Linked DNA regions of Anolis sagrei. The protein of the gene in region 2 interacts with the protein of the main gene of each other region in a pairwise test. Links are inferred from orthologs where the notes say so. Each region holds a gene or a part of one and is shown on either strand. Other genes may lie near its edges.

Region 1 (10,219 bases), about 65 Mb from region 2:
GACAACCTCACTACACACACACCACGCCCACTAATGGCTCATTAATGGAAGAAATGTGGTAAGGCAGTCCTGTCATGTCTGAGGGCCTTCCCACTATGGGAAATCCACACCCAAAACTGTTACAGATTTGTAACAAGAAAAGGGGATCATTAATAGATTGTTTGCATAACAAATTCCCCCAACATTTGGAATGTTCTAGCAATACAGTAATTCCTGGAGAGCAATGATGTTGTGCGATAGGGCAATGGCAGGAATAATGTATCACTATAGTGCTATAACACATGTGATCATGCCCTCAGTCATAATTTTGACACTATAGCTATGGTTGTAACTTGCTCCAATCTACTTTCCAGTGCATCAACTGCATGAAGAGAAAAGGGGCTGTTATGCCAATGATGAGAGTATGGCTGAATGATGTTTCTATCAGGTTTGGGAACATTAGTTGTGCCAGGAGAAGTTAATTAAACTCTAGTAAGACCTTTTAATTGTATTGCTTTTACAATTAAAATGGCTTTTGCTCCCTTTTTATGTTTCTAAAGTTACTGATGGTTTAATTAATCTACATCAAATCTTCGGTATGTGTTAGCTACGAAATGTCCTTGTTCATAAGCCACCTTGAGTATCAGGTTTGGGAGGAAAGGTAGGATATAAATAAATATAAAGCTGCTGCACTTACTACGATTAATAATATTAATGGGAATACTATAATATAGGGATGCTTCACAAATTGCCAGTGGTTTGTGAAGACAGAATTCCAGAGGATGAGCAAAAAGGGCCTCGAATGTAGCAGACCTTCTTTTGAAGTGCAGTGAAATAAATGGCCATCTAAAGAAGTTGTGCCCTTGTCACTTGTTCTTTGTATGTACCCCCAGCCTGATTTGTATATATGGTGACCCTAAAACAAACCTTTCATGGGGGTTTCTTGCCAAGGATTTTTTTTTTTTGCCATTGCCCTCCTCTGAGGCTGAGAAGGTGTAAGTTGCCCAAGGCCATCCAAGGCTTTCTATGGCCAAGTGGGTCTCCCAGAATTGCAGACTAACATTCACAGCATTTTATACCACTCTAGGTATAATATATTTTATATACTTTATTTATATTCTGCTCTATCTCTCCAAGGGGACCTAAAGCGGATGACAGAATACATATATGGCAAACGTTGAATGCCATTATACAATTAACAACAAAGATGGACTGTACCTAGACTGGGTTGTGGCACAGCTGGTTGGGAGTCAGCTGCATTAAAATTACTACTGACCGAAAGGTCAAGAGTTCAAAGCCAGCCCGGGACGGAGTAAGCTCCTGACCATTTGACTAGCTTGCTGTTAACCTATACAGCCTGAAAGACAGTTGCATCTGTGAAGTAGGAAATTTAGGTACCACTTATGCAGGGAGGCTAATTTAACTAATTTAAAAATCTCCAGCAGTATGCAAAAGAATGAGGAAGTACTCCATCGGTGTCACAAATGGACGGTGAAGCGACAGATCCCCCGGTGGCCGGCCCAAGATACCTATCCGACCACATCTCTGCCTATGAACCCACCAGGACTTTGAGATCTTCCGGGGAGGCCCTGCTCTCGATCCCACCTGCCTCACAGGCACGGCTGGTGGGAACGAGAGATAGGGCCTTCTCGGTGGTGGCCCCTCGGCTGTGGAACGCCCTTCCCACAGATATTAGACTAGCTCCATCATTATTGGTATTCTGCAAAAAAGTGAAGACCTGGTTGTTCGAGCAGGCGTTCGAATAGTTAGTGCAATGAGTGTAATGAACATAGGAATGGAACAATGGATGACGGATTTGGATCATGTTTTCAGTGATGAGACGCCAGTGAATGGCTATTGTTGTTAGTTATATAGGATCGTTTAGGTGTTATGATGTTACTGTTTTTTACCGTGTACTGTATTTTGCTGTTTGTTGTTAACCGCTGTGAGTCGCCTATGGGCTGAGAACAGCGGTATACAAATAAAGTAAATAAATAAATAAATAAATAAATTTGAACATACCTTCATGAAGCTGAAAATGTAAATACCTCTGTGTGTCTGTTTATATATTTTGTGTGCCTATTGCATTGAATGTTTGCCATGTATATATGCATTGTGATCTGCCCTGAGTCCCCTGTGGGGTGAGAAGGGCGGAAGATAAATACTGTACATAAATAAATAAATAAATAAATAAATAAATAAATAAATAAATAGAGGCAAAGGTTTCTCTCTTTCCATCTCAGGCATCTGCAGGCTGTGCTCGACTCCAGCCATGGGGAGGTGCTCTTGTTCCATTTTCCATGCTGATGAGTCTGTTGTCTGTGGACATCGTCGTTATCGAATTGCCGGCATCTCTGCATGGGCACCTTTTACCTCCCCGTAAAAGCGGTACTTATTCATCTACTCACATTATTGTTTTTGAACTGCTAGGTAGGCAGGAGCTAGGGCTAACGGCAGGAGCCTACCACCCCACCCATGGCTTGAACTACCAACCTTCTGGTCAGCAAGATTTTCTGCAGCTGGATGTTTAACCCGCTGTGCTACCATGGCCCCTATAAAACCATAGATAGACTTTATAAAACCATTAAGTCCAGAGTCTAAAATTTTCATTCAATTTTATAATGTTGATATAATGCTATATTTCTTCAGTCTACCTGCCGCACCTTGAACATATAGGGGTTTTTGAGTGCATCTGGTATCTGAGCTTCACTGCAGTTTTCTAAGGGTGAATTCTGGCACAAGTCCCTGAGTGTCTGGTTCAAATACTATATTATTATAGGTGGTATTAACTTGATGATACCTAAAGCAAAGAAGCATATACATACTACTCTTCTGGTGCAGAGATTAAATCTGTCTGCCAGTCTTGAAGTTAATCTCTACATCAGAAGAGTGGTTTGTGGAGTTTCAGGGTTCAGATGGAAGGCCAAAGTCTTCCTGCCTTCGTTGGTGGGGCTGCTGCTTCCTTTTTTTCGATCCTATTCAGCAGGATTCAGTCTCCGGATTTGTAATTTGTCACACCACTCTGTAGGATTACAATGAGGACTGAGCTCCTTTGGAATAATTGTGTTTCAAGATCAAAGTTGGAGTCGAAGGGGGGCGAAGGGAGGGGCTCTCCAGATACTTTCTGTCAGGTCCCAGATAGAATTTGAATCTCTTTGGTGCAAGTCAAGACAGAATTTATTCTCCCTTTGAAGTCTACAACCGGTGTCTCTATGTGTGTGTGTGTCTGTGATTGGCTTTCTGCCTTTTAAATACTGCCGGCCAGCTATTTTTGATCTGGGATGGAATTTATTTCAGACTTGGGGTGGGGGTAGACCAGGGAACCCAATGGCTGCTACTCTCTTTTCATTCAGTGATCAGAACAAAGCAAAATCCAAACTTCGCAAAAAGAGTGATACTTTTATCGACCAACTGAAATGGACAAAATCCTGGAATGGTCCATCTGTGTTGACTTGTGACTCCGATCTTCCACAGCCCCTGAGGACGGCAGCAAAAGGACTATTTAGGGACACGGGAGGCTTGGATATAGTTAAAGTGCCTCTATTAGTCAGAAGGTAGATGGAGAAAAAGCTTTTGTTGACAGGCTGAGCATCACTGAACCCAAATTCTAAAATTTGAAGTGCTCCAAAGTTGGCCACATGCATGACAGAGACAGTGACACCTTTGCTTTCCGATGATTCAAGATACACAAACTTTGTGTCATTCAGAAAATTATTAAACATATCTATCTCTCTATCTCTCTAAAGTACAGTAGAGCCTCACTTATCCAACCTTCACTTATCCAATGTTCTGTATTATCCAACTCAGTCTGCCTCCTGCCCAGATCCACAGGTGAGGGAAGTGGAGTGTATATATTTACCTGTGGAATAATGTCCAGAGTGGGAGAAAGAAAGAACCCTTGTCTGTTTTGGTGCTAAATTCATAAATACAGTAATTACTACATAACATTACCATGTATTGAACTGTTTTTTCTGTCTTTTTGTTTTAAAACTTGATATTTTGGTGCATTATTTGTAAAATCATAATGTAATTTGATGATTCCTTTTTGGGAGGAGAGCAATGACCAATTTCAATAAAATAGTGAAGAGTAGGGACATCACACTGGCAACAAAGATCCACATAGTTAAAGCAATGGAATTCCCTATAGTAACCTATGGATGTGAGAGCTGGACCAAAAGGAAGGCTGAGCGAAGGAAGATAGATGCTTTTGAACTGTGGTGATGGAGGAAAATTCTGAGAGTGCCTTGGACCGCAAGAAGATCAAACCAGTCCATACTCCGGGAAGTAAAGCCGGCTGCTCACTGGAGGGAAGGATATTAGAGGCCAAGATGAAGTACTTTGGCCACATCATGAGAAGACAGGAAAGCTTGGAGAAGACAATGATGTTGGGGAAAATGGAAGGAAAAAGAAAGAGGGGCTGACTAAGGGCCAACAGGGAGCTCTGGTGTGGGCTGGTCCAAGAGGTCATGAAGACTGAATGAATAAACAACACAAAAATTTGACATTTACTACGCTTTTCCTTAATTCCTCCTTATTCAACATTTTTGCTTATCCAACGTTCTGCTGGTCCATTTATTGTGTTGGATAAGTGAGACTCTACTGTATATATGCTTGTTGGTTGGTTTGCTTGTACCACAAAGGCTCCATCATGGCTTGTTGGATCTGGACCAAACCTGGCACACACACCCTTCATTACCCAACTTCAGATCATGGCAGGGTATAAACTACAAAATCTTCTCCATTTTGGGGTAAAGGACCCAAACATTAAAATAATGGGTTGTTGTAGGTTTTTTGGGCTGTATGGCCATGTTCTAGAAGCATTACCTCCTGATGTTTTGCCTGCATCTATGGCAGGCATCCTCAGAGGTCGTGAGGTCCTCACAACCTCTGCCATAGATGCAGGCAAAACGTCAGGGGAGAATGTTTCTAGAACATGGCCATACAGCCTGAAAAACCTACAACAACTCAGTGATTCTGGCCATGAAAGCCTTCAGCAATACATTAAAACAATGGTGGTTATGGCCATGAAAGCCACACTTAGGACATCCACTCTATAAGGAAGTAAGCCATTTCATGAAGATTTGTATTTTGGAAGGGGTTTGTGTAGGTGTCTTGCTTTGAAAAGGCCAGGATTTGGTGCCATTTCGATGACCATGCCATGAAAAGGACTAGGAGGAGGTCAAGAATGACAGAAAACAAAGAGAGGGAGACAAGGAGAGAGAGAGAGAGAGAGGGAGGGAGGGAAGGAGGGAAGGGATGGATGGATGGATGGAAGTAAGTAAGTAAGGAACTAAAGTGTGTGTGGTGGTGGGGGGGGGGGAAGAAAAGCAGGGAAGGTGCATGACTGAAAGGATGAGAAGAAGAAGCTGTTAGGAATTGTGGGAGTTGAAGTCCAAAATACCTGGAGGGCCAAAGTTTGCCCCTGCCTGGAATATAGTATTAATTAGGTCTATTTTAATAATAACTCTTAAGCAACCAGAAACATTGATCTGGCATCTATCTACCCCATGGTTGCCAGTTAATGGAAAGTCTACTATAATCTCAAGCACTTCTCAGAGAGATTCAACCCGCCACTAAAGTTTATCTTGGAGGCTTTGGGTAGTTGCGGGTGGGAAGAGTGCCGGAATGTTCTCAAGCGCACTTCTTCGCCGAGTCTGCGAGGGGATTAAGGCGTCTGGCGGCCGGAGGGGGCCCACCAAGCCCCCACCCTCTCTCCCTCCCTTTTCCACGCCGATGATGATGGTGGTGATGATGCCAATGGTGGGCCAGGCGCGGGCGGGGCGCGCGTGAGGAGGGGGAGGGGGGCAGGGAGGGGGGGGGCTGTGGGAGAGCGACCGGAGCGTGATCGCCCCGAGCCCCTCCCGCCTCCTGGGAAAGCCATAAAACACCTCGCCCAGGCGCCCGGCCCCGCACTGGAGAGCGCCAGCCGAGTCGCAGCCGGGATCGCCAAGGAGCAAGGAAGGAGTTCCAGTCGGGATCCAGAGTCACGGGAGAAGGCAGAGGCGCAGGCACACAGGAAGAAGGTGAACAGCACCGGAGCGCGCCTCCTCCCGCTTGGCCAGGCTTTCCCCTTGCGTTCCCTTTCTCTTCTCTTCTCTTCTCTTCTCTTCTCTTCTCTTCTCTTCTCTTCTCTTCTCTTCTCTTCTCTTCTCTTCTCTTCTCTTCTCTTCTCTTCTCTTCTCTTCTCATTCCTTCTTTCTTTCTCTCCCATCCTTCCGTTCCTCCTCCTTTTCTCATTGTTTCCCCTTATTATTCTCCTTCCTTCCTTCCTCTTTCTTCTTTCTTTCCTCCCCTTCCTTCCTTCCATCCCTCTCCTTCCGTCCTTCCTTCCTTCCTTCCTTCCTTCCTTCCTTCCTTCCTTCCTTCCTTCTTCTTCTGTTCTCTTTTCCTCCTTTTTCATCTCCTTCCTTTCTTTTTCCTTTTTATCTCCTTCTTATCCTTTCTTATTCTGTTCTCTTTTTCTTTTTTCCTTCCTTCTTTCCTTCCACTTCTGTTCTCTTTTCCTCCTTTTTCATCTTCTTCCTGTCCCTCCTTATTTTCTTCTTCTCTTTCTTCTTCCTTCCTTTTTTCTCTTCTGTTCCCTTTCCTCCTTTTTTCTCTTCCTTCCTTTTCTTCTCCTTCTCTCCCTTTTTCCATCTCCTCCCCGTTCCTTTTCTTCTCTTTGTTTTTCATTCTTTCATTTCTTTCCTTGTTTCTTCTCCTTATGTTCGCTTTTCCTCCTTTCTCATTTCCTGCTCTCCTCTCTTTTCTTCTCCTGCCCTCACTTTCCTTTTCTCTTCTTTCTTTTTCTTGCCATCCTTTTTTTCTCCTTCTTCTTTCTTCCCATCCTTCTCCGTCTCTTTCCTTCCTTTATTTCCCTGCCCTTGATATAAATTTGTTGTTTTTATATGCTATTGGTTTTACTTTTTGTATTGTGCAGTTTATTTATTTTATGCCTTGTTTTTAGGGACTTTGTGTCATATGTAAGCTGCCTCGAATCCCTTCAGGGAGATGGAGGCGAGGTACAAAAAAAGTTATTATTATTGTTGTTATTATTATTATTATGCTCGCTCTGTGACAAAACGTTGCTATGAATCCTATTAACTCTTAATCTCTCCCCCCCCCCCCCCCGCCACTGCCACCACTTCCCTCTCTCACCTTCATCGTCTTCCCCCTGAAGTTTCCCATTGTTGAGACAGCTATTGTCCACCTGCTTCACAAACCTTGTAACTTTTTGGAAGATGCAATCATGTAATCAGTATATCCAGCACAGTGGTTTATTCTAGCATGAGATTTTAGGTGCGCGTTTTCAAATGATTCCTGGCTGAGTTACTGACTTGCTTGAGAAGGACCTTGCTAAGCAACAACTGTCAGTCCTTAACTGAGCCAAAGTGATCAAGAGGAGAATTTCAAGGAGAGATTGGAAAGGAACACAAACTGGGGGAATAAGGACAAATGTCAATCTATTATCAGAGTCAGAAACAATGGCTTGTTTTCACAATACATACATATATTAATAGACTGGTTTTAATTACATTTGTGGAAACAACCATCATCAACACAAGATTGCGACTTCTGCAGAACCAAAACTTTCCTGAAAGCAAAGTATTGCTTTTTAACTCTAAGAATTCTCGCAAGTCTGTGCATTTGTTTACAGATCCATAACGTTTCTGCTAAGTCAGTGTTATCTCCAGCTTATTGTTGTGGTGGTGCGCCTTCAAGCCATGTCCAATTTATGGCAACTGGGACCAGTGTGGTGTAGTAGTTTAGGTGTTGGTTTATGGCTCAAATGCCCATTGAGCCATGAAGCCCATTGGGTGACTTTGGGCAAGTCACACTCTCTCAGCCTTGGAGGAAGATAATGGCAAACCACTTCTGAACAAATGTTGCCAAGTATTGGAAATGGCTTCATGGTTTACAGCAATTACAATAGCGTAAATTTATCATGGGGTTTACTTAGCTAAAATTTGTTCAGTGAAGGGTTGGCATTGCCTTCCTTTTAGTCTGAGACAGTGTGACGTGCATAAATTCACCAGTGGATTTCCATGGCTGAATGGTGTATTGAGCCCTCGTATTCCAGAGTTGTAGTCCAACACTCAAACCACTGTGCCAAGCTGGTTTCATGTATATATTGTGAATTTTTGGTATTCTTATTTTATTCTTAATTCCACACTTCCAGAACTATTATATTGTGTATATGTACATTGAGCTTGAAAATTGTACACCATCAGTGCACCCAAGGAAGTGAATTAGGATCCTAAAAATCCATGTCAAAATAAATCAGAATTGATACAATTTTCTCCTTTTCCACATTTCTTCCCCTTCTTTTATGCCATGAAAGACTTTAAGCAGAATGCTTCCATCTTCAAAGCAGAAATGTACAAGTTCACTAGGGTTTTACATTTCTTTATGGTAAGTTATTATGGTCTAAGCCAGGTAGTACAGCCTCCAGATGCCAGAGATGGAAAAAGATGTGAAGCCTTTCCCTCTGTTTATGTACTGTCTGTCTTTGTTCATTGTATAACGGCACTGGATGTTTGTTGTATATGTGTACTGTAATCCGTCCTGAGTCCCCTCAGGAAGATAGGACAGAATATAAATACATTATATTATTATTAGTAGAAATGATAATAAACTTTCATACAAACCATATTTAAGAAGTGCTTCCCACCCTCCAATGGAGAAAGCTAACTAAATCCATTTTTATGAGAGATTGTATGCAGGATTTTTCTGAAATATTTGTTGTTCTTTGCTGATTTAGTTTCAGGGACAGGATTCCACAACTTGGACAGTTCATTTAAAGCTCAAATTAAAACCTCAAGAAAAGCAGTTACTCCACTGACAATTATTTTTTAATTTGAAAGAGCTTACCTGAAAGCAAAGGACTGGTAGTCATAGTTTTGCTGCCTCTCTATGCTTTCAAGACATTTATGACATAAGGTAAAGGTAAAGGTTTCTCCTTGACATTAAGTCTAGTTGAGTCAGACTTGGGGGTGATGCCCATCTCCATTTTTAAGCTGATGAGCCGGCGTTGTCCATAGATGCCTCCTAGGTCATGTGGCCGGCATGACTGGATGGAGTGCTGTTACCTTCCCGCCAAAGTGGTACCTAATGATTTACTCACATTTGCATGTTTTCAAACTGCTAGGTTGGCAGAAGCTGAGGCTAATGATGGGAGCTCACCCTGTCTTGCAGATTCAAACCACCAACCTTCCGGTCAGCATGTTCTGCAGCTTAACAGTTTAACCTGCTGTTCTACTATAGCCCCTGTATTTCTGACATAGGATGACCCAAAAGCAAACCTATCACAGAGTTTTCTTGGCAGAATTTGTTCAGAGAGGGTTTACATTTGCCTTTCCTTGGGATTGAGTCGGTGTGACTTGCCTATGGTTACGCAGTGGGGTTCAATGGGCAAGTGAGGATTGAAGCCCTGATTTTCAAGAGTTGTAGTCGAACACGCAAACCACTCCATCACACTGGCTCTCTACCCATCAAAAAGTAAAGAGTTGCTTGAATTTTTTCATGCCATGCTCTCTTGCCCTCCCTCTTGTATCCTTTCCTGGTGTCTTCCAGATGCAGGGGACCATGCGGTTGTGGCTGTCAATGATGACCCTTGCCTTGTGCCTGCTGATCTGCCTGGGGTCACTGGCAGAAGCATATCCATCCAAACCGGACAGTCCAGGTGAGGATGCCCCAGCAGAAGATATGGCCAGATATTACTCGGCTCTGAGGCACTACATCAACCTCATCACACGGCAGAGGTAGGTACCACAACCTTAACCTGTGTGGTAAGAGGGAAGGTACAACACTAGAGAAAATTGCTCACAGGATTCACAAATGACCATGCCCCTTGGGAAATATCTTAAAATTATACTCCTGGAAGTAACATTTGCAGCTCACAGAGATTCTTGCATGCAAGGGGCGTTGCTCCAGTTGTTTTGAGTAATAATTTACACCCACAGTTCCCAGCCTGTTCAAATGTCAGGAATGAAGGGAGCTGTAGACCAAAACAACTAGAAATCTCTAGGTTGATATAAGGAGATATTTTTTTCTTACTCAATGTGTGCCTTAAAACCATTTACACAAGGTGCCTAGAATCACAGATTCACTATATCTACCAAATTAGTGTGTTGAGAACAGGTAAACACACACACAAAAAGAGAATATGTTGCGTAAATATATCAGTATGAGCTTTCGTAAATACAATTCAATTCAACACATATATAGCAGTTATAATTTGGAAATAGGATTCAGCACCTTG
Region 2 (10,385 bases):
GTAGAAGCGAGGAGAGATTTAAAAGTACCACGCACCTCTTTTTTTTGCTAGCTATCTCTGCTTTAGTTGCAATCTCTCTTGATTGACTGCCTCTCTCTCGAGAGAGAGAGAGAAGGGTGAAACTCCCTTCCACACTCCATTGTTGCCAGAAGGCGGGATTAGAACGCTGCTCTGGGCAACAGAAACCATTCATAAATTGGGAGGCAAAAACCCGTGAAACAGCAAGTACGTGAAAAACGAACTGCGAAGTAGTGAGAGAACACTGTAATTGGTAGTATATGCCAGTCAAGTTCTGAGCACAATTCAAATTGTTGGTCTTGGCCTATAAAGCCCTATAAGGCTCCGGCCCAGCTTACTTGTCCAAACATATCTCCCTCTACGTTCCACCCCATAGTTTAAGATCCACCGGGGAGGCCCTGCTCTCGGTCCCACCAGCCTCGCAAATGCGTCTGGTGGGGATGAGGAACAGGGCCTTTTCGGTGGTGACCCCTCACTTGTGGAATTCGCTCCCCAGCGAGATTAGATCAGCGTCCTCCTTCCTTTCCTTCAGGAAACAATTAAAATCGTGGTTTCAGAACCAGGCTTTTGGCTAGCAGGCACAACGGCACTTTGGACACTGAACTGGACCATATGATTGTTATGATAATGCAAATGGCCACATGACTGTATAAGTAATGTTATTGTTTTTAATCTATTGTGTATTTATGGTTTTATATTGTGATATTGCGGCATCGAATTGTTGCCAGTGTCAGTCGCTCGGAGTCCCCCCCCCCCCTCAGTTGTTGAGAAGGGCGAGGTAAACATGTTGCAAATATTTAAATTTACATAATAATAAAATCCAGGTAAATACGTTATTTGTGCCGCAAAAATGGCAAACCTTTACAGTAACAAAACCAACACATTTTACAAAGATCAGGAAATAACATACAGGTAAAAATGGCATACAGATAAAAACAGGTGAAACAGAAATACATGGCTATAGCCCAGGTATGGGCAAACTTGGGCCCTCCAGGTGTTTTGGACTTCAACTCCCACAATTCCTAACAGCCTACCGGCTGTTAGGAATTGTGGGAGTTGAAGTCCAAAACACCTGGAGGGCCCAAGTTTGCCCATACCTGGGCTATATCCCCTGGATTACTACTTTCACCCTTTTTTACTCTCTCTATATTTTCCCATTCATTTACTTTTCCAAGGATGTCTCCCTCTAACTCCAAAAAACTCACCCTTTTGGGGATGATGAATGGATGAAATTAGATTCCCATCATTTTACAGACCAGTCTTCACTCTCCTCTTTCAATCCTAGTTAGTCCCCAACCAGGAAAGAATCACAGCGACTCACCTGAAACTTTTAAAACTCCTCCAAAGAAATTCGAAACTCCAATGTCACGTCTGCGCATGCGTCACTCACTCTCTGCTGCCGGCGGCAGTTTCATTTCCTCCTTCGTCGGAGGGGGAATAAAGGGGCGTGGCTTCGATTAGGCCCCGCCCCTGTGTTATTAAACTGGATCAACCCTATTGAAAGAATGCAGATTGACACTTCTTTTGCCCAATGAGAAGGGATTGTGTGAGTTATAGTTTTACAAGATCTTTATTTTGCCATAGAGGCAAATAAATATATTGTATACACATATAATATTAATACTAATAATACTAATACTAATAATAATACAATATAATAATTATATATTTAATATTACATGTATTATTACTAATAATGTTACAGTATACTGGTATAGTTGTTGTTGTTGTTGTTCATTCGTTCAGTCGTCTCCGACTCTTCGTGACCTCATGGACCAGCCTACGCCAGATCTCCCTGTCGGCCGTTACCACCCCCAGCTCCCTCAAGGTCAGTCCAGTCACTTCAAGGATGCCATCCATCCATCTTGCCCTTGGTCGGCCCCTCTTCCTTTTGCCTTCCACTTTCCCCAGCATCATTGTCTTCTCTAGGCTTTCCTGTCTCCTCATGATGTGGCCAAAGTACTTCAACTTTGTCTCTAGTATCTTTCCCTCCAGTGAGCAGTCAGGCTTTATTTCCTGGAGGATGAACTGGTTGGATCTTCTCGCAGTCCAAGGGACTCTCAGCACTTTCCTCCAACACCACAGCTCAAAAGCATCGATCTTCCTTCGCTCAGCCTTCCCTAAGGTCCAGCTCTCACATCCGTAGGTTACTACAGGGAATACCATGGCTTTGAGTAGGCGGATCTTTGTTGCCAGTCTGATGTCTCTACTCTTCACTATTTTATCGAGACTGAACATTGCTCTCCTCCCAAGAAGTAAGCGTCTTCTGATTTCCTGGCTACAGTCTGCGTCTGCAGTAATCTTTGCACCTAGAAATACAAAGTCTGTCACGGCCTCCACGGTACTGGTATAGTACAATATGGGAATGTATGTTACTAATATTGTGCTAAGCTAATAATATAATATATTGTATTTACATATAACTTGTAAGCAGCTCTGATTATAATATTATACTATTATATATATAATATTATAATTATAAGAATTACATATATAATATATAAAAATAGATTATAATATATTATTATAATATTATATATTTAATATTATAATTATAATAATTCTATATTTAATATTACATGTAATATTACTAATAATATTACAGTGTACTGGTATAGTACAATATGGGAATGTATGTTACTAATATTGCACTATGCTAATAATATAATATAATATATTGTATTTACATATAACTTGTAAGCCACTCTGATTATAATATTATAATATTATATATTTAATATTATAAGCAAAATAGTCAGTGCAATGAATGTAATGAACATAGGAATGGAACAATGGATAACGGATCTGGATCATGTTTTTAGTGATGAGACGCTAGTGAATGGCTATTGGTGTTAATTGTATACTGTTGTTAATTGTATACTTTTCTATAATATGTTATGATGTTAACTGTTTTTTATACCGTGTGATGGTAGCATTGAATTTTTGCTGTTTTTGTTGTTAACCGTTGTGAGTCGCCTAAGGGCTGAGAACAGCGGTATACAAATAATATATATATATATATATATATATTACATGTAATATTACTAATAATGTTACTGGTATAGTACAATAGAGGCAAATTAATATATTGTACAATATAAATTAATATATAGTACAATAAATTAATATATAGTACAATAGAGGTAAATTAATAAATTGTATACACATATAATACTGATACTGATATTAATAATATATTATAATTATAATAATTATATATTTAATATTATAATTTTATATATTTAACATTATAATTATAATAATTATATATTTAATATTACATGTAATATTACTAATAATGTTACTGGTATAGTACAATAGAGGCAAATTAATATATTGTACAATATAAATTAATATATAGTACAATAAATTAATATATAGTACAATAGAGGCAAATTAATATATTGTATACAACATATAATATTGATACTAATACTAATAATATTAATATATTATAATTATATATTTAATATTATAATATTATATATTTAATATTATAATTATAATTATTATATATTTAATATTACATGTTATATTACTAATAATGTTACAGTATACTGGTATAGTACAATATGGGAATGTATGTTAATAATATTGTTCTATGCTAATAATATAATATATTGTATTTACATATAACTTGTAAGCCGCTCTGAGTTCCCTTTGGGGTGAGAAGGGCGGCATATAAATGTCAGAAAATAAATAAATAACCTGCAACCCCCATGATTCCATACCATTAAGCCAAGTGGTGTCAAGCTGCATTAATTCCACAATGTAGATGCACTCAAGGGCAGTGTGAAGCTGAGCATTCATGGGCCACTTCCTCCAAATGCAGTGTTTTTCAAACACTGGTCTTCCCAATGTTTTGGACTTCATCCCCCAGAATTCCTAGCCCTTGGCCAAGCTGGCTGGGGCTTATGGGAGTTGAAGTCCAAAAAAACAAACACCTAGAGACCTAGAAAGTGGGGGTCAATGGCACAAAGGTCTCTGATGTCCTCTGATCTTGGCAGCTAAGCAGGGTCAGCCCTGGTTAGTATTTGGATAGGAGACAGCCAACAACACCGTGTAGGATATAGTTCAGGCTCCTTCTACATTGCCATATAAAATCCAGATTATCTTTGAACTGGATTATATAGCAGTGTAGAAAGGACCTTAGGGGCTATCACTTTGGATGCATCTGCACTGTAGAATTTAATGCAGCTTGACACCACTTTAACCATTATGGCTAAATGCATCCTTATCCTGGGAGTTGTGTATTTTGGTGATCTCTGACCCCATCTATACTGCCATATAATGCACTTTTAAAGATTATCTGACAGTGTGGACTAATATAATCCAGGTTAAAGCAGAAAACCTGGAATCAGATCCTGGGATACAGGGCCTGTCTAGAAGGGCCCTGGCAGTAAAATGCAGTTCCAAACTGCATTATATCCCAATGGTGCCCAAACCGCTGTCGTTGGTCTTTAAGGGGGTGCATCCACACTGTTGACTTAATTCAGTTTGACTACTACTATGGCGAATACAGCGAGTTGGAGTTTTCCCAAGGGCTTTAGACCTCCCTCTGCCAAAGAGTGCCAATGCCCCGCCAAACTACAACTCCCAGGGTGCATCCACACTGTTGACTTAATTCAGTTTGATACCGCTGGAGCTGCTATGGCGAATCCAAGGAGATGTCGTTCCCCAAAGGCCTTTAGACTATCACCCTTCCTTCTGCCAAAGAGTGCCAATACCTCGCCAAACTACAACTCCCAGGGTGCATCCACACTATTGACTTAATTCAGTTTGACACCGCTTGAACTGCTATGGAGAATCCAGCGAGTTGGAGTTTTCCAAAGGCCTTTAGACCTCTCTGCAAGAGTTACGTTGCCTCGGCAAACTACAACTCCCAGGGTGCATCCACACTGTTGTCTTAATTCAGTTTGACACCGCTTGAACTGCTATGGCGAATCCAAGGAGATATCGTTTTCCAAAGGCCTTTAGACTCCTCTCTCAAAGAGTGCTAATGCCTGGCCAAACTACAACTCCCAGGGTGCATCCACACTGTTGACTTAATTCAGTTTAACACCGCTTGAGTTGCTATGGCGAATCCAAGGAGATGTCATTTTCTAAAGGCCTTTAGACTATCACCCCTCCCTCTGCCAAAGAGTGCTGATGCCTGGCCAAACTACAACTCCCAGGATCCACTGAGCCAGGGCCGTTCAAGCGGTGCTAATCTGCGTTGGCTCTGCAGTGTAGACGCGCGGCCGCCAGCGACGCCAACCCGGGGAGGCGCCGGCGACGAAGGGGAGGTTTTTCCCGGGCTGGAAAGGGAAGTGACGCCTGGCAAAGGGTTCCCGGAAGCGACTGGCTCCTGAATGCGAGGATGACCGTGTTTTCACTTTTTTGATGCAAGTTGCAGAGGAAACAGGTAAACAAGAGGAAAGGTAAACAGAGGTGGCGGGAGCAGGAAAAGGGAAGGGATCCGATCTGTGGGATCCGAGATCTTTACAGGCTGATCTCCCCCCAAAAGTGGGTATTTTATGCCCACCCCCACAATAATAATAATAATAATAATAATAATAATAATAATACAAAAACACCCGAGGAGGATCGCCATCTCCCCCTTGATTTGCAGCCTTTTGGGGATCCCAAACACTGTAGAAATAATGCAGTTTGTCCCCTCTTTGACTGCCATGGCTTAATGGGATTTGTAGTTCGCCAGAATTACAAAATCCCAGAATTCCATCGCGTTGGGACATAGCAGTTTCAAGTGTCAATCTAGTCTGGGCAAACTTGGGCCCTCTGGAAGTTTTGGACTCCAACTCCCACAATTCCTAACAGCCGGTTCCCACAATTCCTAACAGCCTACCGGCTGTTATCTGGCAGTGTGAACTAATGTAATCCGGTTTAAAGCAGAAAAACTGGAATCAGATCCTGGGATACAGGGCCTGTCTGGAAGGGCCCTGGCAGCAATTCCTACCGGCTGTTAGGAATTGTGGGAGTTGGAGTCCAAAACTTCCAGAGGGCCCAAATTTGCCCATGTTTGGTCTAAAGACAGCTTTGGAGAGGGATATGCACTTGGATGAAGCCTCTACACTCCAGGTGTTTTGGACTTCAACGCCCACAATTCCTAACAGCCGGTAGCTCCAGTGGGATTCATTCCCAGGTGATCCTCAAAGCTCGGGATGCTTGTCTGTTCTTGAGATGAAAGGCACATGTCTGTGTTTTAGATGGGTTAGGGATCAGCTGGTTTTCCCTGTAATAGGCAGTAAGAGCACCTAGAGCTTCCGAAAGCTTCCGAAGGTGAACTATAAATCCCAGCAACTACAACTCCCGAATGTCAAGATTCTATTTTCCCCAAACTCTACCAGTGTTCACATTTGGACATATTAAGTATTCATGTAGAGGTTGGTCCAGATTCATCATTGTTTGAGTCCACAGTGATCTCTGGATGTCGGTGAACTACAACTCCAAAACCAAAAGACACTGCCCACCAAATCCTTTGAGTATTTTCTGTTAGTCATAGGAGTTGTGTGTGCCAAGTTTGGTTCAATTCCATCGTTGGTAGGGTTCAGAATGCTCTTTGATTGTAGGTGAACTATAAATCTCTGCAACTACAACTCCCAAATGACAAAATCCATTTTTTTGAGTGAAGGACATACATTGGGTTGTTAGGTGTCTTGTGTCCAAATTTGGTGTCAATTCGTCCAGTGGTTTTTGAGTTCTGTTAATCTCACAAACGAACATTACATTTTTATTTATATAGATACTAGCTGTACCCGCTACACGTTGCTGTGGCCAACCTTCCCTCTTTCTCTCCTTCTTTCCCTCCTTCCTTCACTCCCTCTTTCCTTCCTTCCTTCCTTCCTTCCTTCCTTCCTTCCTTCCTGTCTTTCCTTTTCTTCTTCCTTCCTTCTCTATCTCTTTCCTTCCTTACCCCTTTTTCTTTCTCTTCTGCTGTCTCTCTTTTCTTCCTTCTCTCTTTCCTTCTTTCCTTCCCTCCCTCTTTCTCTACATCTTCCCCCCTTCTTTCGCTCCCTCTTTTCTTCCTTCTTTCCCTTTTATCTTTCCTTCTCTCCTTCCTTCTTTCTCTAACTTTCCTTCCTCCTCCCTTTTTCTTTCCCTCCCCCTTTCTCTCCTTTCTTCCTTCTCTACCTCTTTCCTTCCTTCTCTTTGCTTCCATGATTCCTTCTCCCTTTCCTTCTTTCTTTCCCTCCTTCTTCCTTTTTCTTTCTTTCTTTTTTTCCCCCCTTCCCTCCCTCTTTCTTCCCTTTTTTACTGTCATTTAGCTTTTTGGGGCTTTTTAAGTCCCTTCTGCTGTGTTTTTATGAGTGAAGGACATACATTGGGTTGTTAGGTGTCTTGTGTCCAAATTTGGTGTCAATTCGTCCAGTGGTTTTTGAGTTCTGTTAATCCCACAAACGAACATTACATTTTTATTTATATAGATTTATATGCCACCTTTCTCATCCGGGGGGAGGGGGGGCGACTCAATACATGTAGACAGAAAAAAAAATCATAATAACCAAACACCAACATATAACTTTAAATTTAAAATAATTTAATAATAATAATAATAATGAAATCTAGTATATATATCTTGTTTGCTGTGACATACTGCATTTTTGTGTCAATAATAATAATAATAACAATAATAATAATTTTATTTATAGACTGTACTATCTCCCCGAAGGGACACAGGGCAGTTTTCAACAAATATGGCAAACATTCAGCGCCAAAAGGAAAACCATACAAACAATTTACAAGACAAAGCAAATTAGACAACATAGAACAACCAGCTATAACTTAATAAACAAAATAACAAACAAAAAAATCATAAAATACAAAAACCTGATAAAATACACTAAAAATAAAAATATAAAACCAACTTCATTCGGGCTTCATTAGGAGAGATTGAACAATAGCAATGGCCTGGAGTACAAAAATAGACATAATCGGGTAGAAAAGGGCTGGTTGAGGGTTAATGCAAACAACGTGTCATAGGGCCGGGGAAGTGGATGAAGTGCTAAACAGAGTACCATCTAGCAACCTAAGGACTGGGACTAGGGACTAGTTGTTCTCAACAGCTTGCTGGATCATCCAGGTTGTCAGTTCCTTCCAAAAGGAGGACAGTGTGGGGGCTTGCCTAAAACCATTAAACACGAGACATAAAGAACATTTAAGCATTAAAAACATCCTAGTATAAGTATTGCAGTAGAGTCTCGCATATCCAACATAAACAGGCCAGCAGAACGTTGGATAAGCGAAAATGTTGGATTTTTTTTTGTTGTGTCAGGAGCGACTTGAGAAACTGCAAGTCGCTTCTGGTGTGAGAGAATTGGCCGTCTGCAAGGACGTTGCCCAGGGGACGCCCGGATGAATTGATGTTTTTATCATCCTTGTGGGAGGCTTCTCTCATGTCCCCGCATGAGGAGCTGGAGCTGATAGAGGGAGCTTATCCGCCTCTCCCTGGATTCAAACCTGCGACCTGTCGGTCTTCAGTCCTGCTGGCTCAGGAGTTTAACCCACTGCGCCACCAGGGGCTCTGGTGTTGGATAGTAAGGAGGGATTAAGGAAAGGCCTGTTAAACGTCAATTGAAGTTATGATTTTACAAATTAAGCACAAAAACATCATGTTTTACAACAAATTGACAGAAAAAGAAGTTCACTATACGGTAAAGTTATGTAGTAATTACTGTATTTACAAATTTAGCACCAAAACATTGCAATGCTTTGAAACAGCTGTAGATCCGGGCGGAAGGCAGAACGCTGGATGAGCGAACGTTGGATAAGCGAGTACTGTAAAATCACATAATCCAAAACTCATACACTGTGGTCATTCCAAGTTGTGCCGGAAGACCTAGACATTCTTACAGAGGTGTTCTCTCAAGTTAAAAAATAGCTATTTATTTATTCATTTTTTAAAAACTTTTATTGGAGTTTAATCTCATTAAATATGTTGAAGAAATTGATATCACCTATTTCTGGGATTAGTGTCCAGCCATTATATGTATAAAGCCTGATGATATAGTAGACAACAGGGTGCCATTTGTTGACATTGGCTCATCTCTCCCTTTCAGGTTGTATCCTGTACATAGTTTGCACGCCTGCTACACTGCCATGTTACTTCCTCTGCCCCATAAATCTTGTGATGTGATTGTCAACTAGCTGCGTCTCTTCCCCACGGTGGGGAGAAAGGTGAGACGGTATTTGAGGAGAATTGCCTTTCTTCTACATTTTCACCAAATTAATTGATCAAAAAGCGGAGGCGGGAGAAGCGGTGTATAAAAAAGGGGCAATGGAAAAACATGTAGGGAAGGGGTAATAGGGAGAAGGAAAAGAGAGAGCTCTGTGGGGCAAGGGAAAGGGAATGGAACTCACCTGGGTTGTCCTTTGCCACTGCGAAAGCTGGTGACGGCACTTTGGAGAGCCCCTGTTCATTGCCAATGCTTTGCTGACCTCAACAAAGATGCCCTAGTGACCTGGGGAAATGAGGGCAATCACCAGCTATAATCCCATGCTAAAACAAATAAGGCTATAGGTCTATCTGTTTGGCCACTAAAACCAGTCCCAAATTTACCATTGTGCTTATCTATTTTCACTTTGAAATTTACCAGTAGCTTCTGCGTTTCCCACCCTCGGCTTATACTCGAGTCAATATGTTTTCCCAATTTTCTGTGATAAAATGTATCTCAGCTTATATCCGTGCTGGCTTATACTCAAGTATGAACGATATTATTATTTAAAACACAACAAGGCAAGATCACTTTGCTGGCTGTTGTGTTGAATCACATGTCAGACACTTCCCAAGTGTCTAGGACTGTGTGATGTATCGGTGAATAATACATGCAGATCCCAGTAAGGTGGCCTTTTGCAGCTGGCAGATGGTAATTTTGTCAGCTCCGATTGTGTTTAAGTGCAGGCCAAGGTCTTTAGGCACTGCAGCCAGTGCCTAAAGACGATCACCACTGGGACCACCTTGACTGGCTTGTGCCAGAGTCTTTGCAGTTCGATCTTTAAATCCTCACATTGTGTCAGCTTTTCCAGTTGTTTCTCTTCAATCCTACTGTCACCTGGGATTGCAGCATCGATGATCCATACTTTGTTTTTTAACACAATTGTGAGATCAGGAGTATTGTGCTCCAGAACTCTGTCAGTCTGAATTCGGAAGTCCCAGAGTATGGTATTGGTATTGTTATTGTTGTTATTATGTTTATTTAACTATATACCTGATAGCAATAGCTGTACTACAGAATAGCTATTACAGATACTGTAATGTAAATCAAATAATATTCTTTGTGTGGTTTTATTTTAAAAACTGTTTTAAATATTATTTTCAAGATTTTTCGCGGAACACCTACAATGCTTTTCAGAACCCTAGCGTTTCCATG

Evidence for each region. The genes of interacting proteins can lie anywhere in the genome.
Region 1: the proteins of NR1H2 (region 2) and NPY interact in a two-hybrid assay, tested with the Homo sapiens proteins (3 studies listed by BioGRID and IntAct). The link is inferred for Anolis sagrei from reciprocal best matches to the Homo sapiens genes NR1H2 and NPY.

What each region holds. Positions count from the first base shown.
Region 1 is NC_090026.1:92,762,346-92,772,564, reverse strand, and holds the start of NPY (pro-neuropeptide Y), read left to right. Parts: upstream 1-5,865; 5' UTR 5,866-6,002; intron 6,003-9,531; coding exon 9,532-9,719; intron 9,720-10,219. UniProt on the Homo sapiens protein: NPY is implicated in the control of feeding and in secretion of gonadotrophin-release hormone.
Region 2 is NC_090026.1:28,207,219-28,217,603, reverse strand, and holds the start of NR1H2 (oxysterols receptor LXR-beta), read left to right. Parts: upstream 1-5,299; 5' UTR 5,300-5,422; intron 5,423-9,074; 5' UTR 9,075-9,192; intron 9,193-10,385. UniProt on the Homo sapiens protein: Nuclear receptor that exhibits a ligand-dependent transcriptional activation activity. Binds preferentially to double-stranded oligonucleotide direct repeats having the consensus half-site sequence 5'-AGGTCA-3' and 4-nt spacing (DR-4).